4 linked regions of the Anolis sagrei genome follow. The protein of the gene in region 3 purifies or fractionates together with the protein of the main gene of each other region. This does not show direct contact. Links are inferred from orthologs where the notes say so. Each region holds a gene or a part of one and is shown on either strand. Other genes may lie near its edges.

The links.
Region 1: the proteins of STAU1 (region 3) and RPL6 purify together in Homo sapiens (affinity purification with mass spectrometry; 4 studies listed by BioGRID and IntAct, with this or other methods). This does not show direct contact. The link is inferred for Anolis sagrei from reciprocal best matches to the Homo sapiens genes STAU1 and RPL6.
Region 2: the proteins of STAU1 (region 3) and EIF2AK2 purify together in Homo sapiens (affinity purification with mass spectrometry; 4 studies listed by BioGRID and IntAct, with this or other methods). This does not show direct contact. The link is inferred for Anolis sagrei from reciprocal best matches to the Homo sapiens genes STAU1 and EIF2AK2.
Region 4: the proteins of STAU1 (region 3) and FMR1 purify together in Homo sapiens (affinity purification with western blotting; 3 studies listed by BioGRID and IntAct, with this or other methods). This does not show direct contact. The link is inferred for Anolis sagrei from reciprocal best matches to the Homo sapiens genes STAU1 and FMR1.

What each region holds. Positions count from the first base shown.
Region 1 is NC_090034.1:30,301,124-30,309,337, reverse strand, and holds the start of RPL6 (large ribosomal subunit protein eL6), read right to left. Parts: upstream 3,547-8,214; 5' UTR 3,532-3,546; coding exon 3,508-3,531; intron 1,745-3,507; coding exon 1,595-1,744; intron 1-1,594. Other genes in the region: PTPN11 (tyrosine-protein phosphatase non-receptor type 11), read left to right, coding at 6,472-6,485.
Region 2 is NC_090021.1:51,152,696-51,160,429, reverse strand, and holds the start of EIF2AK2 (interferon-induced, double-stranded RNA-activated protein kinase), read right to left. Parts: upstream 3,279-7,734; 5' UTR 2,802-3,278; coding exon 2,603-2,801; intron 513-2,602; coding exon 400-512; intron 1-399.
Region 3 is NC_090024.1:220,680,216-220,688,257, reverse strand, and holds the start of STAU1 (double-stranded RNA-binding protein Staufen homolog 1), read right to left. Parts: upstream 3,240-8,042; 5' UTR 3,062-3,239; intron 1-3,061. UniProt on the Homo sapiens protein: Binds double-stranded RNA (regardless of the sequence) and tubulin.
Region 4 is NC_090030.1:30,073,774-30,081,624, reverse strand, and holds the start of FMR1 (fragile X messenger ribonucleoprotein 1), read right to left. Parts: upstream 3,269-7,851; 5' UTR 2,223-3,268; coding exon 2,172-2,222; intron 1-2,171.

The sequences.
Region 1 (8,214 bases), on a different chromosome or scaffold from region 3:
TGCCTTCCTCTTAGGCCGAGAACCCAGTGGCTGAGCAGAGATTTGAAGCCAATCTCCCTAAATCCTAGTCCAATGAAACCACTACAGGGCATCTGAGCCCACTCTACATTTCTAGGCTGCGAGTATGTCCCCTTGCTCTACCCAAAGTGACTGTCTGTGGCTCACCCGCAATCCATGAGCCATTCTTTGCTAGTCTGCACTTTCCAGGAAAGTGTCATCATTGCTTAATATCAATGCAGTGCCAATCCTCATCACACTGGGGGGAAAAAACCCTTGTTCCTTCACATCAAATACTGTATTTACTCAAGTGTAATGCACACATCAATTTTCAAAACCCTGAAACCAAAATGTTTTTGCTGTTGAATGCACAGCGGCAAAAAGTCCCCTCTTTGTAATTTCACCCTTACAGTTGCTACCTGTTTAGAATTCCTTCTTTCAGAACAAAAGTGTGAGAACACATCATAGCTCCCAGTGATGGAAAGGAAAAGCTTGGGGTGCAGCTATGCTGTAGAACAGTACTTCTCAACCTTCCTGATGCCCCAACCCCTTAATACAGTTCCTCATGTTGCGGTAACCACCAACCATAAAATTATTTTTGTTGCTACTTCATAATTGTAATTTTGCTACTGTTATGAATCGTAATGTAAATATCTGAAATGCAGGATGTATTTTCATTTACTGGACCAAATTTGGCACAAATACCTGCTTCGCCCAAATTTGAATACTAGTTGGGTTGGGGGGAGTTGATTTTGTCATTTGGGAGTTGTAATTGCTGGGATTTATAGTTCATCTACAACCAAAGAGCATTCTGAACTCCACCAACAATGGAATTGAACCAAACTTGGCACACAGAACTCCCATGACCAACAGAAAATACTGGAAGGGTTTGGTGGGCATTGACCTTGAGCTTTGGAGTTGTAGTTCACCAATCTCCAGAGAACACTGTGGACTCAAACAATGATAGAGCTGGACCAAAGTTCGCACAAATACTCAATATGCCCAAATGTGAACATTGGTGGAGGTTGGGGAAAATTAACCTTGACATTTAAGAGTTGTAGTTGCTGGGATGTATAGTTCACCTACAATCAAAGAGCATTCTGAACCCCACCAACGATCGAATTGGGCCAAACTTTCCACAAAGAACCCCCATGACCAACAGAAAATACTGTGCTTTCTGATGGTCTTTGGCAACCACTTTGACACCCCCTTCACAACCGCCCCAGGGGTCCCGGCCCCCAGGTTGTGAAACACTGCTGTAGAATGAATCCACCTTAGTTGCCTTGCTTCAGTGCTAAGGAGTAATGGGGGTGTACTTTGGCCTTCTTTCCAAAGAATGCTGGTACCTCACCAAACTACAAATCCCAGGCTACGCCATGACAATTAAGCTAGAGGCAAGGATCTCTGGGTGATGCTCCTGAAGCAGTTTCCCTTTTGTCTTTGGCTCAGCAGTAAGAGGACCATATGGCACAAATCTCATGCGCACCCTCATTTTGGCAAGGTTATTTCGCCCCAAAAGGCAAGTGTTTGACTCAAGTAAACAGGGCCATGAAAGAAGCACTGCTGCAGAGAGCTTTAACATCCGCATCTCTTCTACCTTTGTTTCCGGAGCTTTGTATTTGCGTTTGTACATGGCTTTCCGGGCGTACATGGCCGAGCGGGAGTACTTCCCGATCCCTCGGGCCAGCACTGGGTTGCGGCTGGTGTGGACTTTCCGGACTCGCTTGGTTTTCTTCTCGCCTGCCATCTGAGTAAATCATAAAATGTTAGTCACTTGTATAATGCAAGGAAGAAAGGAGGGACAAAGAGGGAGTGAGAGAGGGCCACCAGAAACAATGACCAATCCGTCACGTTAGTCGGGACTCAGGCCCCTTCCACACAGCTGAATAAAACCTCGGATTATATGCCTTGAAATTCTGGGTTATATGGCTGTGTGGAAGGGACCTCAAAGAAATCTTCTATCAAGATCCCAAAGAAAATGTGTACAAGACAATGTCCCGATGGCATTTAACCCCTGCTCTCAAGCAAGACCATTTGGGAATTTGGATACAGATGTGACCAAACATTACAGTACACATCAACTGGAGCAAGAATGGTATATATGCACAATATTGGAAAAAGATAGAATCGCTGACAGCTGAAGATTTGATCATAGAAACTTTCTAAAGGACATAATTCGCAATGATGCACAGGGACAAAACCCAAAGTGACTATGGATGGACTGCCCCTCCCCTCCCCCCATTGCCCTACAGCATCCAATCCCAGATTATCTGCTTTCAAATGGATCATGAGTCTACACTGCCAAATAACCTGGGATCATATCCTGGAATATATATAGGGCAGCATAGATCCAGCCTGGGAAGCATTTTTGAACTTACACAATTGTGGACTGAAGGCTTCAAGTCAGTTTGAGGCAGGGGGAAATGTGTATATTGCAAATATCTATGCTAGAGAGTTCAACCTAGCATCCTTATCTTGGAAAATATTAGTCCTATGTATTCAAAGTAGTACATCTTAAATGCCCCTTTCCCAAAATGCTTGAGCCAGAAGCACTTGGGGGTTTTTTTGTCCCCAAAATGTAGATGTCTTTATTTAGCTGGAGTTGGAAGCCAAATCTAAACAAAGTACAATCAAAATTTTCCATAAGCCCCATTCAATATCGATGTATTGCATTTTAATCCTGCTTTTCTCCCCATTTAAGGACTCCAGGCAGTAAACAATCAGTATCCTGTCTCCAAAAGACAGCAACGTTTAGTCCAAAATTCAAAGCAGCCTGGCCCAAAGTTACCCTTCAACCTTGGTCCCACATTGCACAACCAACTCCATGGGCCAGTCTGGCTCTTTCTGCAGCCAAATCTCTGACATCATGGACCTGGTATATAAAAATATAACATATACAATGCAATACAAATATATGTGTATTTATCTATACCCTATTTCTCTCTCCAAGGAGAGGTAAAGCGGCTACATAATATATACACACACACCTACATATATTACATACACATGTAACATTGCATTGTATAAAGTATTATTTATTATATATGTTATATATCTACATATGTTATATACATATATGTTACAATGTAGAATGTGTATTACATGTAATATATATTACATATTACATGATACATTTTATTTTATATATATATATATACACACACACACACACACACATATATAAAATCTACATATACATCTATATGTGCAATGCTAGGGAAGGCTGGGAGTTGTAGCTTGGCCAGGGCTTCAAGGGCTGGCAGCTCCCCAAACTACAACTCCCACCATTGCCCTGCATGGAGCTTGAGCAGATCAACTGCATGGGATTCTACAGGCAGCTTACAAGCATGGTCAATGACCAGCATCATGTATCTGAAGATACATCCACCTAAGATATATAGGATTCCAAGACACAGGCCTAAGGCTAAAAGACACGAAAATAATGCAGGCCTATCATATAGAAGTTCAAATGGAAGCTTTGCAAGAGATGAGGTTCAAATGCAGGTTTACCCCGTAAAGCAGGCATGGGCCCATGTTTGACCATGCCTGCCGTAAGGCAAAACTGTCCCTAAAAAGACAAACTCAATGGCTCCGAGCGCGGCCTATCCTGCAGGGCGACGCCTTCCCGCTCTCCACTCCCAAAATAGCAACCCCTCGCCTCCCGCTAGACATCCCCGAAGCTCTCGGTGCCTCCCCGCCTCCCGGGCGGCGCTCCTGTGTGGAGGATGGCCGCGGATAACAACACCGAGATTCAACGGAGAAGAGCCGCGCCGCCGCCATCCTTACCTTCCGAGATGGAGCAAAAAAGGAGGCAACATCCGGGAACTCGGCACTAAAGGGAGTAAGTGACGTGACGTCAGCGCGCTGGCCGGAAAGCCTCGAACGTCCGACAGATGGCGCTCTGGACGATAGCCGATTGATGTTATTAAAGGTGTCAGAAGCTAATTGAGAATACACTTATAATGTGTAAAATACTACAGACAAAGTGCCCTTCCAGATAGGCCCTATATCCCAGGATCTCAACCCAGGTTTTCTGCCTTAAATCGGATTACGTGAGTCCGAACTGCCAGATCATTTGGGATAAACAGAAAACCTGGGATCAGATCCTGGGATATAGGGCCTGCCTGGAAGGGCCCTTAGACTGCATTATAGTCAGTGTGGTTTGTTCTCCTCCGCACTCGCATGTTGTGGGTTCCACTTTGTGGCCCCGTTTCTTAAGATTGTTGCTGCATCTCGTAGTGCCAGAGCGCAGCCTGTTCAGCACTTTCCAAGTCGTCTAGTTTTCTATGTGCCCAGGAGGGAGTCTCTCACCCAGTCTCAACCAATGATTCAAGTTGCAGGTTTTAGCCTGCCACTTTTGGACTATTGCTTGCTGAGGTATTCCTGTGAGTAGATCTTAGGAAGCTGTTTCTTGATATAAGGTGTTGGCTTGCTGGCTGATGTCTGAACAGAGGACAGGCCAGAGATGTCCTTTCATTAATGGCTGCTACTTCCCGACAGATGTCAGGTGGTGCAACACCAGCTAAGCAGTATAATTTCTCCAGTGCCACATCTACTGTTTTAATGTGATGAGATTTATTCCACGCTGAGCATGCGTATTCAGCAGCAGAGTAGCGAATTGCAAAGGCAGATGTCTTCACTGTGTCTGGTTGTGATCCCCAGGTTGTGCCAGTCAGCTTTCCTATGATATTATTTCTAGAGCCCACTTTTTGCTTGATAGTCAAGCAGTGCTTCTTTTGAATCAGAGCTTGGTCCAGGGTAACTCCCAGGTATTTGTGCGTGCTGCAATGCTCTAGTGGGATTTCTTAAGGTGAAAAGCACATGCCTGCGTTTCGGATGGATTAGGAATCAGCCAGATTTCGCTGTAATAGACAGTAAGAGCACCTAGAGCTTCAGAGAGCTTCTGTTCAACCATTTCAAAGCTCCCTGCTTGAGTGGTGATGGCACGATCGTCAGCATAGATGAAACTCTGTATCTCACTGCCAGTTTGAGACACAATTGAGCTATAAAAACATTAAATGCAGGCATTTCCTATCAAGACCAATCAAGAACCTTAAAGAAGTGCAATGATTTTTAACTTTGAATGTTTTGATGGTTTTGATCTGAAATTTTGAATGCTGTTTGTTTTTTTTGTTGTTCATTCGTTCAGTCGTCTCCGACTCTTCGTGACCTCATGGACCAGTCCACGCCAGAGCTCCCTGTCGGCCGTCACCACCCCCAGCTCCTTCAAGGTCAGTCCAGTCACTTCAAGGATGCCATCCATCCATCTTGCCCTTGGTCGGCCCCTCTTCCTTTTGCCTTCGACTTTCCCCAGCATCATTGTCTTCTCCAGGCTTTGCTGTCTCCTCATGATGTGGCCAAAGTACTTCAACTTTGTCTCTAGTATCCTTCCCTCCAGTGAGCAGCCGGGCTTTATTTCCTGGAGGATGGACTGGTTGGATCTTCTCACAGTCCAAGGCACTCTCAGAACTTTCCTCCAACACCACAGCTCAAAAGCATCGATCTTCCTTCGCTCAGCCGTCCCTAAGGTCCAGCTCTCACATCCGTAGGTTACGACAGGGAATACCATGGCTTTGACTAGGCGGATCTTTGTTGCCAGTCTGATGTCTCTACTCTTTACTATTTTATCGAGACTGGACATTGCTCTCCTCCCAAGAAGTAAGCGTCTCCTGATTTCCTGGCCACAGTCTGCATCTGCAGTAATCTTTGCGCCTAGGAATACAAACTCTGTCACGGCCTCCACATTTTCTCCCTCTATTTTCCAGTTGTCAATCATTCTTGTTGCCATAATCTTGGTTTTTTTAATGTTTAGCTGTTTGTGTTTAATTCTGTTTTAATGTTTGTATATTTGCAATTGGATACCAATGCTTTTATGTCAAGCCACTTTTGAGTCCCCTTTGGGGAGATAAAGTGGGGTGTAAATAAATATAACAATAAGAGCCAAGCTGAAGAAATGGGGCTAAAGTGGAGTCCACGACATGCGAGTGTGGAGGAGAGCAAATCCAGACTATCTACTACAATGCAGCTTGAGCCCTGCCACATACACAATGGAGGACCTTCTCACAGCGACACCAGAGGCACTCCAAGTGGGCAGCCCCTGGTCAAAGGACATTTGGGACAATGCCAAGTTTCTAACTTTGTCTGTGGTTTTTAAATACATTATCACTGTATTCTCGATTCGCTTCTGACACCAACGAGAACATAAAGCACACGGGTCTGTTTTCCCCCTAACCAACGAAGTCAGAGGCTGAGTTTGGCGGGAGTGTCCCGGATGTTGGGGTGGGGGAGGGGGTGGGGGTGGGCGGGGCTTGAGGCGGCGTCGCCGGGGGATGACGCGCGGAGGCGGGTGCAGCGCCGCTGGCCTGTGTGTGGCTGGCTCCCGCTCGGCTCCCGCGGCTGGCCCGGCTCGTGGGCGTCGCCTTTCCCCCTGCGAGGCCCCCGGGCCCCCCTCGGAGGACAACGCTGGCGGGGAAAATGACCTCCCGGAGGTAGGCCCAGCGGAGGGAGGGAGGGAGGGAGGGAGGGAGGGAGGGAGGGAGGGGGGTGGATAGCAGAAGGGGGGGTAGCACCAAGCTCCGCCCCTTTGGCTCTTCCTGTGCCCCCCCCCCCCCCCCGCCCTGCAAAGAGAAGAAGAAAGGACAGCAATCATATGTGTTGTCCAAAACTTTCATGGCCGGAATCACTGGCTTGCTGTGAGTTTTCCGGGCTATGTGGCCAGAGAATCATAGAATTATAATAGAGTTGGAAAAGACCCCATGGGCCATCTAGTCCAACCCCCTGCCATGCAGGATAAGCACCATCAAAACAGCCCCGACAGATGGCCACCCATCCTCTGTTGAAAGGCCTCCAGAGAAGGAGAGAGAGAGAATCCTAGAATAGTAGAGTTGGAAGAGTCCTCGTGGGCCATCTATTCCAACCCCCTTCTGCCAGGCAGGAAAAGCACCATCAAAGCAGCCCCGACAGATGGCCACCCAGCCTCTGTTGAAAGGCCAGAGAAGGAAAGAGAGAAATAGAATCCTAGAGTTGGAAGAGACCTCATGGGCCATCCAGTCCAACCCCATTTTGCCATGCAGGAAACACACAAAGTGATAATAATAATAATAATAATAATAATAACTTCATTTGTAACCCGCCCTATCTGTCTGAGGGGACTCAGGGCGGTTTCTAACAAAGCTGGCCAACATTCAATGCCAAAAAAACAAACAGGCAACAAATCAAATTGAAAACAAATAATAATAACTTCATTTATATCCCGCCACCATCTTCTTCCAAAAAGGGACTCGGGGCGGCTTAGGGACTCGGGCAACATCAATATAAACTTATAGTGACAACCCAAACATAACCAAAATTAAGAACTTTACAAAATTAAGAAATATACATAATATAACACTTCAGACATACTTACAAGTATAAATCTAATGAATAAAAAGCATTAAGATACAAGATAATTTACAGTGACCAAGTATCCCTGACAGATGGCTTTTAAACAGATGGCTCTGTTTAAAAGCCTCCAAGAAAGGAGCTTCCACTGAACTCCAAGGCAGAGAGTTCCACTGCTGAACAGCTCTTCTTACAGTCAGGAAGTTCTTCCTAATGTTCAAGTGGGATCTCCTTTCCTGTCGTTTGAACCCATTGCTCTGAGTCCCAGTCTCAAAACAGGCCTACTCCTTTTTCCTATGACACCCCTTCATGTATGTAAACATAGCTCTCACATCTCCTCTCAACCTTCTCTTCTTCTGCAGGCTAAACAGACCCAGTTCTTTAAGACGCCCCTCAAAGAGTTTATTCATGGTCTCCAGACCTTTGATCCTTTTACTCGCCCTCTTCCTCTGGACACCTTCCAGCTTAGAGTCAGTATCTGCTTTGAACTGTGGTGCCCAGAATTGGACACAGTATTCCAGGTAAAGAGGTCTGACCAAAGCTGAATACAAAGGCACCATGACTTCCCTCGATCTAGACACTAGACTCCTTTGGATGTAGCCCAAAATCCCATTGGCTTTTTGAGCTGCTGCATCACACTCTTGTCTCATGTTCAACTTGTTGTCCACGAAGACTCCAAGATCTTTCTCACCTGGACTATTGTTGAGCCAGGCATCACCCATCCTGAATCTTTTCCTAAGTGTGGTAGCCTACATTTGTCCTTGTTGAAATGCATTTTGTTAGTTTTGGCCAATCCGCTTTCTAATCTGTTAAGGTACTTTTGCTTCCTGATCCTTT
Region 2 (7,734 bases), on a different chromosome or scaffold from region 3:
GCTTGGATTGCTAGATTCAATGCTTTAGAAAAGCTGACTCTAATCTAACATTTCTGAATTCATAGCAGTACAACTCCCACCATTCCCTGGTATAAATCAGACTCTCAGATTTGTAATCCAGTGCATTTGGAAAATGCCAAACTGAATGAATGACCAATTTAAAAAACTAAACCCCTATGAAGGACCCACTAAAAGTAGCCACTAGAGGGCAACCCTGACAAACAAACATGTCGTGCTTGGAAAGCCCCTTGGTTTCTTTAAAAACTAATCATTTATATAAATTAACACTAGCAGTGAATTAAATACTACCTTCCCAACATTGATGACAAATTAATTGCACATTAATAAGTTGTCATATATACACTGACTTTCATAGAAAGACTTTGAGTTCATGCTGACCTTAATTTTTTCTGGACGTCCAAACTCAAGCAGTTGAAAGTTATTCGGGGGTGAAATATCCTTGTGAATTTCTGCCACCATATCATTTAAAATATATAATGACCAATTTGTACCTGCAACATAAAGGCAAATGAGTTCCATATGGCTTCCAAAAACATAAGACACACAGAGACAAGAGTACAGTCAGTGTGCCAACGTCTGTGCTAAATTATTGATATTAAAATAACTAGACTTTAATAATTTTAACAATCATTTAGCATTTTGCAGATTAGCAAAGAACAGTCTTGGGATGACATTCTCCCTCCTCATACTTTGTGTATCTAGTTTTTCCCCCTTAGGTGAGGTAAACCATTGTTTGCCATTTTATCCTTTCCCAGGATTGCAAATTCTGATGGATGAAATGACGAATTCTTAAAGCAAAAATCACTGGGCTGCATTTATAGCAGATAAGAAGACCACGAAGCAATTGAGGATATGATCCTGAGGCCACTTTTCTTTTGGCTTTATGCCTGAACTCTCTCTGAAGCTCTGAAATGCACAGCATTTGTTTGAAGTGGAGGTATTGTTTACAAGAGAAGCTATTGTTTGTATAAGAGCCAGTGTAAAAAAGCAATATTGATCAAAACAGATTTCAGAAAATACTACACTGCCGGAAAAAAGGTTCCACCTTAACTTTAGGAAGAACTGGAGGTACTGTTTGCAAGAGAAGCTATTGTTTGTATAGGAGCCAGTGTTAAAAAACATGTATTGATCAAAACAGATTTCACAAAATTCTACACTGCAGGAAAAAAGGTTCCACCTAAACATTAGGAAGAACTTCCTGACAGTAAGAGCTGTTTGCCACAGTGGAACATGCTGCCTGGGAGTGTGCTGGAGTCTCTGCCTCTGGAAGTTTTACAGCAAATACTGAATGGCCATCAATCGGGGGTGCTTTGATTCTGCATTCCTTCCTGACAGAATGGGGTTGGACTGGATGACTCTGGTGTCTTCCAACTCTATGATTTTAAGAGGTTTGAGGTTAGCAGCCCATGACCAGTTACTTGAACATGGAGCAAGAAGGTGTGTATTGCTTAGTTAGTTACATAACCTGGGGATGATCAGTGGGATGTGGAGAAGGATTAGAAAGATACAAAATGGGCTACTACAGACATCTGACAAGCATAACTTTGCTTGTAGATGTAAACATGGATTCTGGCAACCCAGCCTGAATGTCTAACTACTGATGATATCACATTAGAGCAGTGGTTCTCAACCTGTGGGTTCCCAGGTGTTTTGACCTACAACTCCCAGAAATCTCAGCCAGTTTACCAGCTGTGAGGATTTCTGGGAGTTGAAGGCCAAAACATCTGGGGACACACAAGTTGAGAACCACTGCATTAGAGACTTCTAAATTGCAGGCCTGTGTTTCCCTATTGCCTGGTTTGCTTCTGCAGAATTCTGGGAAGCCAAGGACCTCTAGCTCAGAATTTCAAAGGCTCCGCTCTAAACTATATTCCCTAGAATTCTGCAGGAGCAAACTGGTTCAGAGGGAAACACGGACCTAATCTGTAGAGCTCTAATGTGATCTTGTCCTTGGTAACAGAAAGCAACATTGTACAGTTGTCTCTCTACATTTGTGGGTTTTACATTTGTGGATCTGATTACCGTATTTCACCATTACCGTATTTCACACGTTTTTATCCCTTTTTGGATTAAAAAAGGGAGATACAACTATTATACAGCGGAGGAAAAAATCCAGCATTAGAGCCTCTCTTGGCCAGTAGTCGAGTGAAGTCCCATAGGCAGTTACATCCTGAGCAAGTGAACTAAGAGCATGACTATTATGCAGAGAATACTAAAATTCCCATTTTGCCACCCTGAACATGGGGGTGCAACTAAGATGCAAAGGCAACTGTTATGTGATTATATGCAGGAATTTGTATATTAGATTAATATGTTCTTTCTAGGTATCTCATACTTCCAGTATGTCTGTATGGCAAATTTGGCCACAGAGTTGCACTAGAGGAATAAGACATTTCTAAAGAGATGTTCTCTCAGTTAAAAAGTAATGCATTTTTAATTCAGTTTTTCCACCTTTGCACCTCTAAGCCCAGAAAATGTAGAAGACTGACTATACTTCCAACTGAGCAGGAAAGAGATGGCACCTGCCATCAAATAATAATCAGCAGGTCAGGTATTAATTTCCTCTTAAAAGACTACTCACCACATTTAGGATAAGCCACTATCAAGACATCATCCTTTCTGGCTTCCATGGTTTCAAGAGCTTCAAAAGTCTCAACTTTACAAAGCCGACTAGGATACAGGACTCCTTTGTACGAAAATAGCAGGTCATCATCGTTATCCTTGTCATCCTCTAAGAACTTCTCTACAAATTCTGCAAAGCCACTTTTTTCCTTTGCCATCCTTTCTTCTCACTGGTGTCTTATTCAGATCCCTTCTAAAGAGGAGATTCAGTTCGGTGCTCTTGGACACTCTTTATTGCTCAGCAAAGGATATTTCACAGAAGAACAAAGTCCGGAATTACATAAGCTCACACCCTGGATTCCAGTTCAGACTGGCTATTAAGACTATCTGGCTTTATTTGTTTCTATAGCAAAGTATTGCTTAATATTTTGCTGGCTGAATAAAGTTATTTTTTGGGAGGAGATATTACTCCTGAAACATGATTGGAACACCAGGGGCTCCAGAGGGTGAAGTAAATAGGCTAACTGAAACCAAGTGGATGAAATAAAGAGATCTCTGCCCCTTTAAGGGATGACTATGATGCTGACACTTTCCTCAGTTTGGCAATGTTAGGCACTTCTGTAACAGGATCTTTCTAATCTTTGTCAGTTACGAGAAGTCTTCTTTATGTGTTCCAGTACTGAACCAAAAGAATTTAAAATACAGTTAAGATATGCAATAAGATTAGACTTCCTAAAGCATAACATGGTTCTGTTACTGGCATACTTTGGCAAGCATTTCACATAAATTGCCTTTAAAAATATTTTTGCATTGTGTTCTAAAGTTCAGCACATCTCCCTGGGGAATTTGTTTAACTTTGTTCTACAATTTTGAGCCCAGAAGATTAGAGTTTCACACCCAGCATTCCTGTAACCTTTTGGGCTGCACAGTTTGAGAACTTCTGCTTTGGACCATCTTGGAGTCTGCCAGGGCTAAGAGAGTCAATACCTTCTGTTTGGAGAAGAGCAGCAGATTTGGCTACTGTTGCTTGTCCCTCTGCTTGGTGGTCTTCAAGTTAACATCTGCCTGGCTAATAAAAGTTAACATTTGCCTTTATCCTCTGGTGGCCTGCCCTGTGCAGGAAGGATGTGTTTTTCTAAGGAGCGAGAAAGTCCCTAGATTCGTGGGGTCAAACAGAGCAGGAGAAGATGCGGAAGGGGGAAACAGGTTCAACACAAACAAAAGAGGGAGCGAAATAGAATGCATACTACTTCCAAATTGTCTCCTATATTTAATAACCTGGATAACTAAAGGAGGCCGATACCCATAGTAGATTTGCTTTGGTAACATAATAAGAAGAAGTGTACCCCTCCCAGTAGAGAAGGAGCAACACATCAATGGCAGGGTGGAAATGTGTGCTCTGCAATAGAAAAGCTAAGTGTAAAGATAAGGCTTGCTGAACAGAGTTGAGACTTGGGCTGGGCTGAAATTTGCCCCAGAAAACATGTGCAGTAGAATCTTGATAGATAAGAAAAACCTATATAATGTGTGGTCAAGGGGTGTGGTACACGGCAACCTTTTTTAAAGTACTGTGACCTGCATGTGCAGTACGGCTGACCCGTCTCCTTATGGCCATACTGGAATAAACCTTGCTTTTGCTCTTCTCCTGAGCCTAGACATTTTTGTCTGTTTGCCTCCTGTGATTGGATCTTCAACAGGAGCTCAGATTTGGGGTCCCTTACATAAGCAGGGTGACTGTCCCCCTAGGTTGAAAATGCTGCTGCTAAATGCCAGGTCAGTCAATGGGAAAATAATGCCATCCAAGGCGTTCAGGCCTAGCTATAAAACAGAGACAGCATTGGTCGCCTTGGTGGATGACCTACAAAGAGAGCTAGACAGGTGGAGTGTGTCCCTGTTGGTTCTCCTGGACCTTTCAGCTGCTTTTGATACATTGACCATGATACCCTTCTGGGTCCTCTCTATGGGCCGGGGCTGGTTTTACAGTGGCTCCGGTCCTTCCTGGAGTGCCATACCCAAAAGGTGGTCCTGGCCGCTGTGCTGTGGGGTTCCTCATTGTTCCATTTTGTCCTTCATGCTGTTCAACATTGTAGAGAAATGTTTATTATAGAGTGTTTATTATACTGTATTTAAACTGTATTTAGGTTTTACATTAGTTGCTATGGCCTAACTGTGAGGGATAGGTTGCCATGGTAACACAGCCTCAGAGGAGGTGGGCGGAGTTTAAGGAATAAAAGGTTTGAAAGCGTCAGTTAATATTCAGTCCGGTGGATGAGACCCGGGGAAGAGGTTCAGAGTGTTGTGAAGCTGTGAGAATTCAGTAGTTCTTAGAATTTGTGAATATTTCTTCAGCAAGAGAGCTGAAGGTGTTACCTTGTTAGATTGCTTAGGTTAAAGAATCTAACAGAGGGGGTTTAAAGGATCGCCAGTAAGGAAAGACTGGTGATCAGTGGTTTGTTCCGAGTATAGGGCAAACAGTGTGGATATTCACAATAGGGAACTCTGAAGTAGTATAAGCACTTCACTAAAGAAGGAGTTTGTAGAATTGTAACATCAGAAGCCTGTATGTATCTCAAACCAGCCATTTTGTAACATCAAGCCTTGTGCCAAGTTCAAATTCTCAAAACTGCAACAATTACGTTCTGTTGACAATAAAACTTGTTCTCTTTGTATTTCAAACCTGCCTCCTCCATTGCTTTTATGCTTGGTGCATTCCACACTACCAAAGTCACCTCACAACACAACTAAAGATAAACAGAGACATAAACCAGCGTCTCTAAACATATTGGTGGCAGTTTAATTGATATCTAAAAGAAGGTTCCTCACAGAATATTGGTGGCATTAAAGAAGATTAATGCTTCCTCACATAATTTTTGTTGACAAGCGGTGGCATTAACGCTTCTTCACATAATTTTGTTGACAAGCGGTGGGATTAACGCTTCCTCACAAACATATACATGAAATTGCTGGGAGATGTCATCCGGGGTTTTGAAGTATGGTGCCACCTATATGCAGATGACGCCCAACTCTACTACTCCTTTCCACCTAAAGCCAAGGAAGCTGTCCTGACCCTAAACCAGTGTCTGTCATCAGTAATGGACTGGATGAGGGCAAACAAACTGAAACTTAATCCAGACAAGACAGAGGTGCTTTTTGTCAGTTGGAAGGTAGACCAGGGAATAGAGATCCAGCCTGTGCTGGATGGGGTCTCACTCCCCCTGAAGACACAGGTCTGCAGTTTGGGGATACTTCTGGACTCAAAACTGGAACTGGAGCCCCAGGTTTTTGTGTTGACCAAAATTACAACTTGTGCACCAACTGTGCCCATTCCTTGAGAAGCCAAGGTGTGGTACATGCTTTAGTTTTATCCCGTCTGGATTACTGTAACGTGCTCTATGTGAGGCTCGGAAACTTCAGCTAGTCCAAACAACTGCAGCCAGGGTGCTAACTGGGAATGGCTGCAGGGAGTAGACAAACCCCCCTCCCCATTGCAGCAGTTCCACTGGCTGCCAGTCTGTTACTGGGCACAATTCAAAGTACTGGTTGTGACCTTTAAAGCCCTAGACAGTTCAGGTCCAGGCTATTTGACTGACTGCATTCCCTTGTATGAACCTGCCCAGGCCCAGGGATCTTCAAGCAAGGCCCTTCTCTTGGCCCCACCACCATCTCCAACTTGGTTGGTGGGAATGAGAGAGAAGGCCTTCTTGGTGGCTGCCCCTCGACTCTGGAACTCCCCTCTTCCTAGGGAAGTCAGACTAGCCTCCTCCCTGCTGTCTTTCCGGCGGCAGGCTAAAACCTTTTTAGTCAAACTGGCATTTGAAGATGAAGTCAGAGGATGCTATGATGTTTAACTTGGAATATGTTTGATGGGTTTTAATTAATTTTTCAAAATACTGTTTGTGTTTAATTCTGTTTTAATGTTTCTATATTTGTATATAATAATAATAATAATAATAATAATAATAATAATAATTCCTAAAATAAAATTAATCTTGTCAGGAGTTATAAGACTGCATTGCTGCAGGAGATGCAATCCATATACTGATAAATTATTTAACTGTTGTAATCTTGTTGTCAAAGGTGTAAATGTAGACCACACCTTAGCAATACAAACCTACACATCTACTCAGAGATAAATGCTCTGATTTAAACAGGATTTATACCTTGGTGGGAGGAAAAAGGATTGCAGCCCTGGGTGGCAAGAGCATGAAACTGGAAGGAAAAATACATCTAAGTAATGCAGGGTTTTTCTGCTACACTTGATGATCTGCTCAGAGCTTATGTAAGTTGCCTTTTGGACCACAACTCCCAGAATCCTCCAGTAACTACAATTTTGGCTTCATTGTCTGGATATTCTAGGCCTTGTTGTACAAAACGAAACTCAACTAAATTTGACCATCTACTCCAACCAGTTAGCGATAAGCAATAAGAAGATCTGCAACCACTTTTCTGATAACAGCTTGTCAGGTGCCTTATCCACACTCAGTAGAAAATAAAACAGAAGACCACAGGTGCTTTATATTAGACATTCTGTGTAATGTAGTTCTGAGATTACATAATTCTAAGAGCCCCACTGAGGAATTTCCTGGAACATCCAGGATAGGCCAGGTCCTGGACAAAGGTGGTAATCATGATCCATTGTGTCTGTGTACAGAACAAGTAGTTTCCTCTGCAACATCTGATAACTGCTGATCAGTACTCACTTCAGTTGAACTGACAGTGGAAAGGGGAAGTCACACATATTGGATCCCTTTATTTGACACCCAAAGCCTGAATGAAGATCATCACCTTTTGTCCCAAGGCTCCTCGCTGTCACCTTCCCCAGGAAACTTCCTCATCGCCCAATATCAGAACAATTAAACCAATCAAGGACTCATTTACATCTTCCAATATGGACATGGACTTTTTGGGGCTCCCCTCCTCCTAGGAGAACCACCTCTCAACAGCTGATTGGCCCTCCTCAAGCCAATCCCCCTCCATCTCCTCCCCTTTGCCAGGGAATCCCTGCCTGGAGGTGTCAAAGATATCGGAACACCAGCCAGTTGGTGTGCAGATCCAATAAATATAGGACAAGTGATCTAAAAATGATTTAAAATTTGACCCCCTGACTTAAAAATAAGGAAGCAACAAATTGAGAAAGTTTATTGGTTTTCT
Region 3 (8,042 bases):
TGTACTTTCGTGCACAGAGAGATGCTCAATTACTAGGAACGTAACAGTATGAAAAGTGATCTTTCAGCACCTCCGAGACTAAGGGTGCATCTACACTACACTGTAAAATTAATGCAATTACACACCACTTTAACAGCCATAAATCAGTGCTATGGAATCACGGGGATTATAATTTGGCACTTGGACATGGAAGGCTAAAGATCTTGAAAAAAAGTACAGTCCCCCTTGATTCTACAGCATTTTACATGAATTCTACAGCATAGATCATATACCAGCTGTTAGGAGTTGAAGTCCAAAATGCCCTGAGGGCCCAAGTTTACCCATGGCTGGCATAGATGCATCCTGAATCAGTTTGGTAGCATAATGTAAACCAGTGTTATCCCTCAGATGCATAACACAACAGCAATCCTGCCTGGATCAAACCATAAGTCTCTCTGTGCCCCATATCTGCCAAACCACAGATGTCTCTGGGAAATCCACAAAAAAGAAGATATAGGCCCCTTCCACACAGCTGAATAAAATTCCACATTATCTGCTTTGAACAGGAATATATGGCAGTGTGGACTCAGATAATCCAGTTCAAAGCATATATTGTGGGATTTTCTGCCTTGATATTCTGGTTTATATGACTATGTGGAAGGGCCTATAGAGGAGGAGGCAATGAGGAGCGACAGATGTGCGAGCTGCAAACCCAGAAGAAATTGAGAGGTGTAGAGAAGAAGGTCAAACAGGCAACAGAAAATAAATTTCCCTTGTATAGATGGAGTATTCCTGATCTGAAATCCTTGGGGCCAGAAGTGTCATTGGGCCCTTCCACACAGCCATATAACCCAGAATATCAAGGTAGAATATCCCACAATATCTGCTTTGAACTGGGATATCTACCAAATAATCCAGTTCAAAGCAGAAAATGTGGGATTTTGTTCAGCTGAGTGCCAGGGGCCTGAGCCATATCAACAAGTTCACTGTGAATTTTATACAGCTGTGTGGAAGGGTAATTTTGACCTGAGATTTTGAAACACCTGCATATGTACACACGAGACAACACGCCCAAACACAAGGACCCGTTTACGTTTCGTAGGAAGGTAGTTTCATACACCGTATTCTTGGAACAACATTCTGCACATTAAGCCAAGCCCCCTTCCACACAGCTGAATAAAATCCCACATTAGACGTTGAGACACTCATGAGGGTGGCTCCCTGCACACAGGCTAGGAGGCCTTCCACAAAGCTACATAACCCAGAATATCAAGGCAGAAAATCCCACAATATCTGCTTTGAACCGGGTGATCTGAGTCCACACTCAGATAATGTGGGATTTCCTGCCTTGATATTGTGGGATATAGGGCTGTATGGAAGGGCCCCGAGTCCAGACTACCATATAATTCAGTTCAATGTAGATTTTATACAGCTGTGTGGAAGAGGCCCTAGGGCCCCTTCCACACAGTTCTATATCCCAGAATATCAAGGCTGAAAATCTCACATTATCTGTGTGGACTCCAATAACCCAATTCAAAGCAGATATTGTGGGATTTTCTGCCTTGATATTCTGGGATATAGGGCTGTGTGGAAGGGCCCACAGTCAGAATATCAAGACAGAAAATCCCACAATATTTGCTCTAGAACTGGGTTATCTGAGTTCACACTTATACAATCCAATTCAAAGCAGATAATGTGGGTTTTTATTCAGCTGTGTGGAAGGGGCTCTAGTTAAAAGCAGATATTGCGGGATTTTCTGCCTTGATATCCTGGGCTATATGGCTGTGTGGAAGGGCCCTCAGATAACCCAGTTCCAAATAGGCATTGTGGATTATCTGCCTTGATTTTCTGGGTTATATGGCTGTGTGGAAAGGCCCTCAGATAACCCAGTTCCAAATAGGTATTGTGGATTATCTGCCTTGATTTTCTGGGTTATATGGCTGTGTGGAAGGGCCCTCAGATAACCCAATTCCAACCAGATATTGCAAATTATCTGCCTTGATTTTCTGGGTTATATGGCTATGTGGAAGGTCCCTCAGATAACCCAATTCAAACTAGATGTTGTGGATTATCTACCTTGATATTCTGAGTTATATGGCTGTGTGGAAGGGACCTGAGATAACCCAGTTCCAAATAGATATTGGGGATTATCTGCCTTGATATTCTGAGTTATATGGCTGGGTGGAAGGGCCCTCAGTTAACCCAGTAACAAACAGATATTGTGCATTATCTGCCTTGATATTCTGAGTTATATGGCTGTGTGGAAGGGCCCTAAAATAACCCAGTTCCAAGCAGATATTGTGGATTATCTGCCTTGATATTCTGAGTTATATAGCTGTGTGGAAGGGCCTTCTAATAACCCAGATTCAAACATATATTGTGGATTATCTGCCTTGATATTCCGAGTTATATGGCTGTGTGGAAGGGCCTTCTAATAACCCAATTCAAACTAGATGTTGTGGATTATCTGCCTTGATATTCTGAGTTATATGGCTGTGTGGAAGGGCCCTAAAATAACCCAGTTCCAAGCAGATATTGTGGATTATCTGCCTTGATATTCTGGGTTGTATGGCTGTGTGGAAGGGCTCTCAGATAACCCAGTTCCAACCAGATATTGTGGATTATCTGCCTTGATATTCTGGGTTATATGGCTGTGCGGAAGGACCCTCAGATAACTCAGTTCCAAATAGACATTGTGGATTATCTGCCTTGATATTCTGGGTTATATGGCTGTGTGGAAGGCCCTCGTGGGTGTCTCCCCCTCTCATGGGGAGGGGGGAACCTTTCACCATCTGAAAAGTCAAGGTGTCACTCTCTCGGCCTCTCGTGGGGGCCATTTATAATCGGGAAGCTGGAGTTCCCCGGGGAAGGGGTCTTCCTCCGCAGTCGGGCGCCCCCACCGGCCGGCCTTCAACCAGAGGAGAGGAGAGGAGCCTCCGCCAGACCCCTCCTCCTCCTCCTCCTGGGCTTAGGCCCAACCGCGGTCTCCTCCTCCTCCTCCTGCTCTTCCTTCTCCCCCGAAGGGCTGCGAGGGGAGGCCACGGGAGGGGGGCGTCCCAGCCTCTTCCCTCCCTTCCCTCACCTGGTGCTTCTTCTGGGCTGCGGCTCCCGGGCCGGCTCGTGTGGGCGGCGGGCGGCTCAGTCCATCGGAGGCTCCGGGCAGGGCGGGCGGGGAGGGGTCCAGGGCGGGAGGGGAGGCGAGCGAGTGGCGGCGGCGGAGGCAGGCACAGGGCAAACACTAAAGAGAATGAGAGCGGGGCCAGCTCCGGCCGGGGGAGGAAGTGACGCAGGCGCGGCGGCGTAAGGGGCGGGGCCCTACTCCACTTGCTATTTATACAGACCAAGCATGGGCGAACTTGGGCCTTCCAGGTGTTTGGACTTCAACTACAACCAATCCTCACAGCCTCAGGCCCTTTCTTTTTCCCCCTCAGCCGCTTAGCAGTATGTGTGAAAAAGATCTTGGAGTCCTCGTGGACAACAAGTTAAACATGAGCCAACAATGTGATGTACCGGCAAAAAAAAAGCCAATGGGATTTTGGCCTGCATCAATAGGAGCATAGTGTCTGGATCTAGGGAAGTCATGCTACCCCTCTATTCTGCTTTGGTTAGGCCACACCTGGAATATTGTGTCCAATTCTGGGCACCACAATTCAAGAGAGATATTGACAAGCTGGAATGTGTCCAGAGGAGGGCGACTAAAATGATCAAGGGTCTGGAGAACAAGCCCTATGAGGAGCGGGTTAAGGAGCTGGGCATGTTTAGCCTGAGGAAGAGAAGGCTGAGAGGGGATATGATAGCCATGTATAAATATGTGAGAGGAAGCCACAGGGAGGAGGGAGCAAGCTTGTTTTCTGCTTCCTTGGAGACTAGGACGCGGAACAATGGTTTCAAACTACAGGAAAGGAGATTCCACCTGAACGTGAGGAAGAACTTCCTAACTGTAAGAGCCATTCAGCAGTGGAAATCTCTGCGCCGGAGTGTGGTAGAGGCTCCTTCTTTGGAGGTTTTTAAACAGAGGCTAGATGGCCATCTGTCAGGGGTGATTTGAATGCAACATTCCTGCTTCTTGGCAGGGGGTTGGACTGGATGGCCCACGAGGTCTCTTCCAACTCTATGATTCTATCAATAATAATAATAATATCTTTATTTATATCCAGCCCCTCTCCTGTAGGGGACTCTGAATGGCTTACGACAAGGCAAAGCCATACAAAATAACAATAACCACATAATACTTTAGAAATTAAGACAAATGATAAACAGAACAGAACATAATGAGAAATATAAATAATAATAATGGTCCCAGTGGTGATCAGCACACTGGGTGCAGTGCTGAAAGGCCTTGGCCTGTGCTTAAAAACAATCACCGCTGACAAAATTACCATCTTGTCAGCTGCAAAAGGCCACCCTACTCGGCTCTGCACACATTATTCGCCGATACCTCACACAGTCCTAGACACTTGAGGAGTGTCCAATGTGTGATTGAATACAAAAGCCAGCAGTTATGTTATTTGCTGTGTGCCAATCTTGTTGTGTATCAAATAACAACAATAATGAATCTTTAATTATATCCTGCTTTTCTCCCACAAAGGGAGCCAAAGTGGCTTCCAACATGTTAAAATACAATAAAGTACAAAACAAAATGATCAAAAAAGGCACGGAAATAATAATAATAATAATGATAATAATAATAATAATAATAATAATAATAATAATGTATTTGTAACCTGCCCTATCTCCCCAGCAGCTTCCAGAAAAGAAAAGAAAAAAACAGCAAACATTCAATGCCAAAGTGAGCAACAAAACAAATCAAAACAACACATAGATAACATCAATATAAACTTTAAAAATATCAAGCAAAAAGTGGGTGCCAGAAATAGTATCATACGAAAATTGACTGGCACAACCTGGGGGTCACAACCAGATACAGTGAAGACATCAGCCCTTGTGTTTTGCTACTCTGATGCTGAGTATGCATGCCCAGTGTGGAATACATCTCACTATGTTAAAACAGTGGATGTGGCTCTTAATGAGACATGCCGCATTATCACAGTATGCCTACATCTACCCCGCTGGAGAAATTATACTGTTTAGTCTGTATTACATCACCTGTCATCCGGTGGGAAGTAGCAGCCTGTAATGAAAGGACCAAGGCATTGACATCCTCTGTTCAAATATCAGGCAATAGGACAATGGTTCTCAACCTGTGGGTCCCCAGGTGTTTTGACCTACAACTCCCAGGAATCCCAGCCAGTTTACCAAAAAACATCTGGGGACCCCAGGTTGAGAACCACTGCAATAGGACAACATCATAAATCAAAAAAATATTTTTCTAAGATCTAGAGATACTCGCAGGAACATCTCAGCAAGCTAGAATCCAAAAGTGGCAGGCTAAAACTTGGAATCTCAATCAGTGGCCAATACCAAATGAGAAGATCCCTTCCACCCCCTGGGCACACAGGATACTGGGCGAGTTGGAAGGTGCTGAACTAACTGCATTTTGGTACGAGATAAGGAGCCAATCTTAAGAGATAGTGCTACCAAGTGGAGTTCACGACATGCGAATGTAGAGAAGGGCAAACCACAGACCACTTACTACAGTGGTTTTCAACCTATGGGTCCCCAGATGTTTTGGCCTTCAACTCCCAGAAATCCTAACAGCTGGTAAACTGGCTGGGATTTCTGGGAGTTGTAGGCCAATACACCTGGGGACCCACAGGTTGAAAACCACCGACTTACTACAATATGATCTGAGCCCTGCCACATGCACAATGGAGGACCTTGCCACAGCGATACCAAAGGCACTCGAAGTGGCCAGCTTCTAGTCAAAGGAAATGGGTTGTTGTAGGTTTTTCGGGCTATATGGCCATGTTCTAGAAGAATTCTCTTATTCTGACAAGCTGGAATGTGTCAAGAGGAGGGCGACTAAAATGATCAAGGGTCTGGAGAACAAGCCCTATGAGGAGCAGCTTAAGGAGCTGGGCATGTTTAGCCTGAAGAAGAGAAGGCTGAGAGGAGATATGATAGCTATGTATAAATATGTGAGAGGAAGCCACAGGGAGGAGGGAGCAAGCTTGTTTTCTGCTTTCTTGGAGACTAGGACGCGGAACAATGGCTTCAAACTACAAGAGAGGAGATTCCATCTGAACACGAGGAAGAACTTCCTGACTGTGAGAGCCGTTCAGTAGTGGAACTCTCTGCCCCGGAGTGTGGTGTTGGCTCCTTCTTTGGAAGCTTTTAAACAGAGGCTGGATGGCCATCTGTCAGGGGTGATTTGAATGCAATATTCCTGCTTCTTGGCAGGGGGTTGGACTGGATGGCCCACGAGGTCTCTTCCAACTCTTTGATTCTATGATGCTATGACGTTTGGCCTGCATCTATGGCAAGCATCCTCAGAGGTTGTGAGGTCCTCACAACCTCTGAGGATACTTACCATAGATGTGGGTGAAACGTCAGGAGAGAATGCTTCTAGAACATGGCCATATAGCCCCAAAAACCTACAACCTAGTGATTCCAGCCATGAAAGCTTTCAAAAATACATTGTAAATTTAGTATAATGCCAAGTTTTTAACTTTGTGGTTTCTTTATACATTACAACTGTATTCTCAATTAGCTTCTGCCATGATGAATAAATAAAATATCATTAATAACAACACTTAACATCATCATTAATATATATAAGCTTTCCCAATATGATCCCACTCCTATCTGCCCTCTCTCCTTCTCGCTCGCCGCTCTCAAAATAACTACGTTTCCCAGCAAGTTTGAAGTGCACTTCCCGGAAGTGACGCAACTCCTCAACTTCAGGGCTTATCGCCTGCCTCCACGCGGCAGCTCAGAATCCTACAACTCCCGGCATGCCTTGCAGGAGGTGGGATTTACAGCTCTGGAGCCAAGCGGAAGGGTGTGCTATTGCCAATCCGTCCTCGGATGCCGGTTCTTCTTGCTGTCAAGACTCAATCTAGAATGGATCCAAAGACCAGTGTTGTTCTTGTGTGGGCTGTACACAAGATACTGCACGCAATTATTATCCATATTGTTTGTGAAATTGTATATAAGGTGTATAAGGGGGCAGCTGCACCAGGCAGGGGCAAGCTTGGGCCCTCCAGGTGTTTTGGACTGCAACTCCCACCATTCCTTACCTCGCGAAGGCTGATCTGTCCGGAGTGATCCATGCCTTGGTCACCTCTAGATTGGACTACTGTAATGCGCTCTACGTGGGGCTGCCCTTGAAAACGGCTCAGAAATTCCAACTGGTCCAATGGGCAGCGGCCAGGATGTTAACTGGTGCTCCTTACAGAGAGAGGTCAACCCTCCTGTTTAAGGAACTCCACTGGCTGCCGTTTATTTTCCGAGCCCAGTTTAAGGTGCAGGTGCTTACCTACAAAGCCCTAAACGGTTTGGGGCCATCCTACCTGCATGACCGCATCTCCGTTTACGAACCCACGCACTCACTGCGCTCATCCGGAGAGGCCCTGCTCGTGATTCTGCCTGCGTTGCAGGCGTGTTTGATGGGGACGCGAGACAGGGCCTTTTCTATGGTGGCCCCCCGACTCTGGAACACCCTTACCAAAGATCTTAGACACGCCCCTACATTGGCAGTCTTTAGAAAGAACTTGAAGACCTGGCTGTTCCGATGTGCCTTCCCAGAATAGGAAAACTCCATAATAAGTCCCAAAAGCACTTTAGTAGGATTGAGATTGCTGAGCACTGCACACTGCACTTGCCCTATAATCCTTACATATCACCTGTCACATCAGCACTTTTAATTCTGTACCCATTACTCTGGCCCGGCCCAGTTTTATTGTGTCTTGGTGTATTGCTTATTGCTTGTTGTTTAATATTGCTTTAATTGTTTTAATTTGATTTCGGTTTTTGTATCATTATGTTGTGTTTTGAGGCCTTGGCCTTTGTAAGCCGCATCAAGTCCTTCGGGAGATGCTAGCGGGGTACAAATAAAGATAATAATAATAATAATAATAATAATAATAATAATAATAATAATTCCTTACAGCCTCAGGCCCCTTCCTTTTCCCCCTCAGTCTCTTAAGCTGATCTTAGAGTCC
Region 4 (7,851 bases), on a different chromosome or scaffold from region 3:
ATGTTCTAGAAGCATTCTCTCCTGATGTTTTCCCTGCATCTATGGAAGGAATCCTGAGAGGTTGTGAGATCTGTCGGAAACTAGAAAGTGCAGTTTATATATCTGGAATAAAGTCACCTGCGGGCTGAGAGGGTCATTATATATATTTTTTTACTGCTTTAATGATTGCTCTACTGTTTATGGATGTATTTTAATTTGATTTATGTCTAAGTGTAATTGTATAATTGTAATAGTTTGTGCTGGCATCGAATGTTTGCCATTACCTATGTGGAAACTGCTTTGAGTCCCCTTCGGGGTGAGAAAAGCGGTATACAAATATCGTAAACAAATATTGTAAATAAATATATAAATATAGAAAATAAAAAAAATCAAGGTGATCAATTGCAGCATCCAACAAACAGCATCAAACAGACAAGAGCTCTTTCTCCCACCGTGAGCACTGTTCTACACGTATATAAACCCCAGTAGGGTAGTTTCCAACACACCTCACAACCTCTGAGGATGCTTGCCATAGATGCAGGTGAAACATCAGGAGATAATGCTTCTAGATCAGTGTTTCTCAACCTTCCTAATGCCGCGACCCCTTAATACAGTTCCTCATGTTGTGGTGACCCCCAACCATAAAATTATTTTAGTTGCTACTTCGTAAGTGTAATGTTGCTACTGTTATGAATCATAACGTAAATATCTGATATGCAGGATGTATTTTCATTCTCTGGACCAAATTTGGCACAAATACCTGATACGGCCACATTAGAATACTGGTGGGTTTAGGGGGGATTGATTGATTTTGTCATTTGAGAGTTGTAGTTGCTGGGATTTATAGTTCACCTACCATCAAAGAGCATTCTGAACTCCACCAATGATTGAATTGTACTTGGCACACAGAACTCCCATGACCAACAGACAATACTGGAAAGATTTGGTGGGTATAGACCTTGAGTTTGGGAGTTGTATTTCACCTACATCCAAAGAACACAAACAATGATGGATCTGGACCAAATTTGGCACAGATGCTCAATATGCCCATATGTGAACACTAGTGGAGTTTGGGAAAAGTAAGCCTTGACATTTGGGAGTTGTAGTTGCAGGGATTTATAATTTATTTATTATTTATTTATTTCGGTTGCTTCTACCCCGCCCTTCTCACCCCGAAGGGGACTCAGGGCGGCTTACAAAAGCAAGGCACAATTCGATGCCCACATCACATAACAGCAATAAAACAAATAACATCAATTAACAATTAAACAACAATTCTTGCATTATAACCTTTAAACCAATACAAACCAATTTCTCCTCATTGACGGTCAGTGTTCGCTACCTCATAGTTCAATTTCCAATTCCACAATTGTCAGTCCTGTCAGTCCTATTCGTCTGGTTGTCCTTATCTAGTTGTCAGATTGCCCAAAGGCCTGGTCCTATAACCACGTCTTTACCTTCCTCCTGAAGGAGAGGAGGGATGTTGATGCCCTAATTTCCCCCGGGAGTGAGTTCCACAGGTGGGGGGCCACCACTAAGAAGGCCCTGCTCCTCGTCCCCACCAGCCTCACTTGGGATAGCGGTGGGGTCAAGAGCAGAGCTTCCCCAGATGATCTCAAATTCCGGGGTGGGACGTAGAGGGAGATACGTTCAGACAGATACACTGGACCGGAACCATACAGGGTTTTGTAGGGGAAAACCAGCACCTTGAATTGTGCTCGGAACTGAACCGGCAGCCAGTGGAGCTGAAACAGCAGGGGGGTGGTGTGCTCCCTGTATGTCGCTCCGGTGAGCAATCTGGCTGCCGCTCGCTGGACCAGTTGAAGTTTCTGAACAGTCTTCAAGGGCAATCTCACGTAGAGTGCGTTGCAGTAGTCTATTCAGGATGTAACAGGAGCGTGGACCACTTAAACCAAAGAGCATTCTGAACATCACCAACGATAGAATTGGGACAAACCTCCCACACAGAACCCTCAGAAAATACTATGTTTTCTCATGGTCTTTGGAGACCCCTCTGGGGGTCCCGACCCCCAGGTTGAGAACCACTGTTCTAGGTGGAGGCGAAACGTCAGGAGAGAATGCTTCTAGAACATGGCCATATAGCCCGACAAACCTACAATCCCGCCTTCTTGTTAATGCTTCCCGGTAAGGACTTTTTGAAGGAAGGAAGGAAGGGAGGGGGGGCGGCGTACCTTGTAGAAGGCCCCGTTGGAGCCGCGCACCTCGACCACGAGCTCCTCCATGTCGTCGTCGTCCTCTTCGGCGGCGGTGGAGGCGGAGGAAGCGGCGGCGGCGGAGAAGGAGGAGGAAGGGGGCCCGCCGCCGCCCCCTCCGCCCCCGCGGCCTAGCCGCCCCCCTGCCGCCGCCGTCGTGATGGCCGCCCCGCCGCCCTTCTTGGGCCCGGCCTCGGCGTCCCTCAGGTGGCGGCGGCGCAGCGCGGGACGGGGCGCGGGAGGCGGCGGCGGCTGCGGCGGAGGAAGCGGCGGCTCCTTCCTCTTGGCCTCCTCCTCGGCGCGGCTGGGCGTCGTGGTGGTCGCCGTGGCCCGCGGAGGCCCAGGGAGCGCGGCGGGAAAACGCGGCCGAGGCCTGGAAGGAGGGCGGAGAGAGGCTGGCGGGCGGCGGCGAGGAAGCAGGAGGAAGAGGAGGAGGAGGAGGCGGAGCGCCGCTGTGTCCACATGAAAGGCCTGGCGCCCTCACGTGAGGCGGCGGCGGCGGAGGAGAAGGCCGTAATGGCGGGCGAGCGGCGGTGGGCGGGGCCGGACAGCGCGCGCCTGCGCAGTCGCCGCAACAGCCGGGTCAACCCTGGTCGCTCACTCCCTCCCGCTCCCGCCTGGCGCTAAATCTCGCGAGAGTATACCCACAGTGTCTATATTCCTCCGCGTAATCTCGCGCGAATGGGTGACAGGATGAGGGGGGAGTCTACGCGCGTGCGCAGTCGCCCCAACAGACTAGTCTCTCGCTAACTCCCTCCCGTCTGGCTCTAAGTATCGCGAGAGCATACACAGTGTCTATCTTTCCTCGTCCTCTCCTCCCCGTAATCTCGCGCGAATAGGCGACAGAATGAGGGGGGGAGTTTACGCGCCTGCGCAGTCGCCCCAACAGATAAGTCTATCGCTATCTCCCTCCCGTCTGGCTCTAAGAATCGCGAGAGTATACACAGTGTCTATCCTTCTTCGTTCTCTCCTCCCCGTAATCTCGCGCGAATAGGTGACAGAATGAGTGGGGCAGTCTGACTACGCGCCTGCGCAGTCGCCGCAACAGATGGGTTAGCTCTGATCTCTCACGCCCTCCCGTTTGGCGCTAAGTATCGCGATAGTATACCCACAGTGTTCATACTCCCTGCCGTCCCTTCCGCGTAATCTCGCGCGAATAGGTGACAGAATGAAGGAGGGAGTCTACGCGCCTCCTTCTCGTTTGGCGCTAAGTCTCGCGAGAGTATACCCACAGCATCTATACTCTCTGCCCTCCGCTCGCGCGAATAGGCAACAGAATGAAAGGGGGGGGGAGTCTACGCGCCTGCGTAATCGCCCGAACTGACTGGTCTCTCGCTCACTACCTCCCTCCCGTCTGGCGGTAAATATCGCGAGAGTATACACAGTATCTATCCTTCCTCGTCCTCTCCTCCCCGTAATCTCGCGCGAATAGGTGACAGAATGAGTGGGGCAGTCTGAATACGCGCCTGCGCAGTAGCCGCAACAGACGGGTTAGCTCTGGTCTCTCCCTCCCGTAATCTCGCGCGAATAGGTGACAGAATGAAGTGGGGAGTCTACACGCCTACTTCCCGTCTGGCGCTAAGTCTCGCGAGAGTATACCCACAGCGTCTATACTCCCTGCCCTCCCCGCTCACTACCTCCCGTCTGGCTCTAAGTATCGCGAGAGTATACACAGTGTCTATCCTTTCTCGTCCTGTCCTCCTCGTAATCTCGCGCGAATAGGCGACAGAATGAGGGGGGGTCTACGCGCCTGCGCAGTCGCCCCAACCGACTGGTCTCTCGCTCACTACCGCCCTCCCGTCTGGCGCTATATATCGCGAGAGTTAAAACAGTCTATCCTTCCCCGTCCTCTCCTCCTCGTGATCTCGCGCGAAGAGGTGACAGAATGGAGGGAGTAGGGAATCGTGCGTCTGCGCAGTCAGGCTCACTCGCTCGGTACCGCGAGAGTATATTCACAGTATGTATACGCCCCTCCGCGTAATCTCGCGCGACGGGGTGACATAATAGGGGAGTCCGCCAGCCCGCGCCTGCGCAGTCGCTCTAAAAGCCGGGTCAACCCTGGTCACCCGCTCACACTCTCGCTCCCGTTGGCTCTAAGTATCGCGAGACACACACAGTGTATATACTCCGTCGCCTTCCCCTCCGCGTAATCTCGCGTGAAGAGGTGACAGAATCGGGGAGAATCCCTATGTTCGCTAAATAACGCGAGACTCTGTCGCCCAGGCATGGACTGCAGCCCAGCGCGGAGTGAGGCGCTTCCACCAAGTTCGAGGAGGAAGGAGCAGGCGCATGCGCACTGGTGGCCCTTTGAGTTTTAGTGTCTGCACAGGGCATGGTCCAACTTGAGCCTTCCAGGAGTGTTGAACTCCAACTCCCACCATTCCTAACAGCCTCAGGCCCCTTCATAGAATCATAGAATCAAAGCAGGAATTAGGGGTCTTTGCCAGGAGGCAGAAACCAATTAGACTCATCAAAGAGTTCTTTTTCCCTGGCGAGACAGAGAAGCACCCAATCCCTGATTTTTCCCAGTAAAAGGTCTCACCAAGTTGAAAGAAGTGCCACCGAGGTTTATTAGCGATTCAGCTGAAAAGGATGCAGAGCGGCAATCATTCGCCAAGCAGAGCATGTGGTTACAGAAGTAATGGCCATTTTTGTAGAAAACTAGCTGACCCTGCCACGCATTGCTGTGGCCCAGTTTGGTGATCTGGAAAATAAAGTAATGAGTCATTGGTTCTTTTGATTTCTAATATATGTAATGTCTTTCTGCTTGTGGGTAAACAGTATTTCTTCTTGTTTCTTTGTCAGTGTTGATGTGGAGATTGTCTGGTTTGCCTACTCTGGAACATGCAACATATTATTGTCCTTCTTTAGGGGTCCCTTTCACATCTGTCTTTCACCTGACTGCACAGACTGACGCACGATTCCCGACTCCCTCCATTCTGTCACCTCTTCGCACGAGATTACGAGGAGGAGAGGACGAGGAAGGATAGATACACTGTAAACTCTTGCGATATATAGCGCCAGACGGGAGGGAGGTAGTGAGCGAGAGACCAGTCAGTTGGGGCGACTGCGCAGGCGCGTAGACTCCCCCCCCTTCATTCTGTCGCCTATTCGCGCGAGATCTTTCACATCTATCTTTCACATCGTATCTCTGCCTATGAACCCACCAGGACTCTAAGATCTTCTGGGGAGGCCCTGCTCTCGATCCCGCCTGCATCGCAAGCACGGCTGGCGGGGATGAGGGACTGGGCCTTCTCTGTGGTGGCCCCTCGGCTGTGGAACACCCTTCCCATGGACATTAGATCAGCCCCTTCGTTAATGGTGTTTCGAAGAAAACTAAAAACCTGGCTGTTTGAACAGGCGTTCGGATAAACAATGCAATGAATATGATGAATATAGGAAACGGTATTATGGATGACGATTTGGATCACGATTCTAGTTACGAGACGCTAATGTGTTGTTATTGATGTGTCATTATTTGTATATTATGCTGTTAATGGTTTTTAAATATTGTATGTGTTGGATTGACTTTTTGCTCTTGTTGTGAACCGCGTTGAGTCGCCTACGGGCTGAGAAACTGCGGTATACAAGCAAAGTAAATAAATAAATCTACGATACTATATCTCTGTGTGTGTGAATCATATCTATCTATCTCTATCTATCTATGGCTGGTTGGTCTTTGTCAGGAGGACTTTGATTACGTTTTCTTGAGTTCTGTGTGCCAAATTTGGTTCGATTCCATCGTTGATGGAGTTCAGAATGCGCTTTCATTGTGGGTGAACTATAAATCCCAACACCTACAACTCCCAAATTACAAAATCATAATTTTTTGAGTGATGGTCACTCCTTATGTTGTGAGACCTTTTGTTGCCAAATTTGGAGTGAATTTGTTCATTGGTTCTTTTGTTTTTAAGGTACTCCTTATGCACAGAGCATTTATATATAGATAGATGCATCTATCCATATGTATGGGAGGATGGCTCTTTGTCAGGAGGACTGTGATTGCGTTATCTTGCCCTGGTGAAGGGAGTTGTAGTGGATGGGGTAAAGTTTTTTCTGTTGGTCATGAGGGTTCTGTGTGGGAAGTTTGCCCCCATTCTGTCGTTTGTGGGGTTCAGAATGCTCTTTGATTGTAGGTGAACACTGAATCCCTGGGACTACAACTCCCAAATGTTAAGGTGTATTTTCCCCAAAGTCTATCTGTTTTCATATTCGTGCCAAGTGTGGTCCAGATCCATCATTGCTGGAGTCCACAGTGTTCTCTGGATGTAGGTGTACTACAATTCCGAAACGAAAGGTCAATGCCCACCAAACCCTTCCAGTATTATCTGTTGCTCATGGGAGTTCAGTGTGCCAAGTGTGGTTGAAAAACGGTAAATCCCAGAACAGAGGAGTACATTGTTCTAAAAGTGAAAAAGCTTGGTTCAATTCATTCCTCCGGGACTGGACACAGAGGGTGGAGTGGCCAGGCCAAAGCTCTGAAAGCTCCTACCTTTGCTGTGGAGTTCCCCAGGGTGCTATCCTCTCGCCCCTGTTATTTAACATCTACATCTGACCACTTGCTGGACTGGTGCGGAGCTTTGGCATAGAGTGCTACCAGTATGCAGATGATACCCAGCTACTCTTGCGTCTCGAACCTGGAACAACTGCGATTCCTGAGAACTTTAAGCTGTGTTTGGAAGCAGTGATGAGTTGGCTACGAGCAAGCAGACTAAAAGTCAATCCTGCAAAAACTGAGATACTCTGGCCGGCCAGCCACCAGAATTAACCCAGTCTCTGCCTGATTTCGATGGGGAAGCTCTGGTTCCGTCTGCCACTGTTAAAAGCCTTGGGGTTGTGTTGGACTCATAGCTGACGATGGAGGCCCAGATCACTGCCATAAGTAAGCAGGGCTTTTTTCATCTTCGCCAGGCAAGGAAATTGGCATCCTACCTTTCGGTAGAAGCATTGACAACAGTAATCCACGCAACAGTCACCACGAGGTTGGACTATTGCAATGCCTTATATGCTGGCCTTCCGAAGTCAACGACCCAGAAGATTCGGATGGTCCAAAATGTGGCAGCCAGGCTGCTAGCAGGATCATCTATAAGATCTCATATTACACCGATTCTGCAACAACTGCATTGACTACCAATAGAACAACAGATCTCTTACAAGATACTGATCCTGACATTGAGAGCTCAAAATGGCCAAGGACCTTTATATCTTAGGGACCGCCTCATTCCTTTTCCCCATCAGTGGTCACCTCGATCCACCCAGGAAAATCTCTTCTACATACCGGGTCCTAGGGAGGCACATTTGGAAACTACAAGGCATAGAGCTTTTTCGATCAATGCTCCAATTCTGTGGAACTCATTGCCTTCATATATTAGAGCAATGTCGGAGTTGCGACCTTTTGCAAAGGCGCTCAAGACTTGGCTGTTTGGCTGTGCATTTAAGTAACCGGATCAAATTTTGCCATAGTCACTGCTGAATGTTTTTATGTTGAATTTTTTATGTTGAATTTTTTTATATGAATGTTTTTATATTTAATGTTTTTATATTTAATGTTTTATATTGTGGATAAACTGTTTTAAATTGTAAGTCGCTCGGAGCACCTTGGTAGAGAGCGACTAATTAAGAAATAAAATGATGATGATGATGATGATGATGATGATGA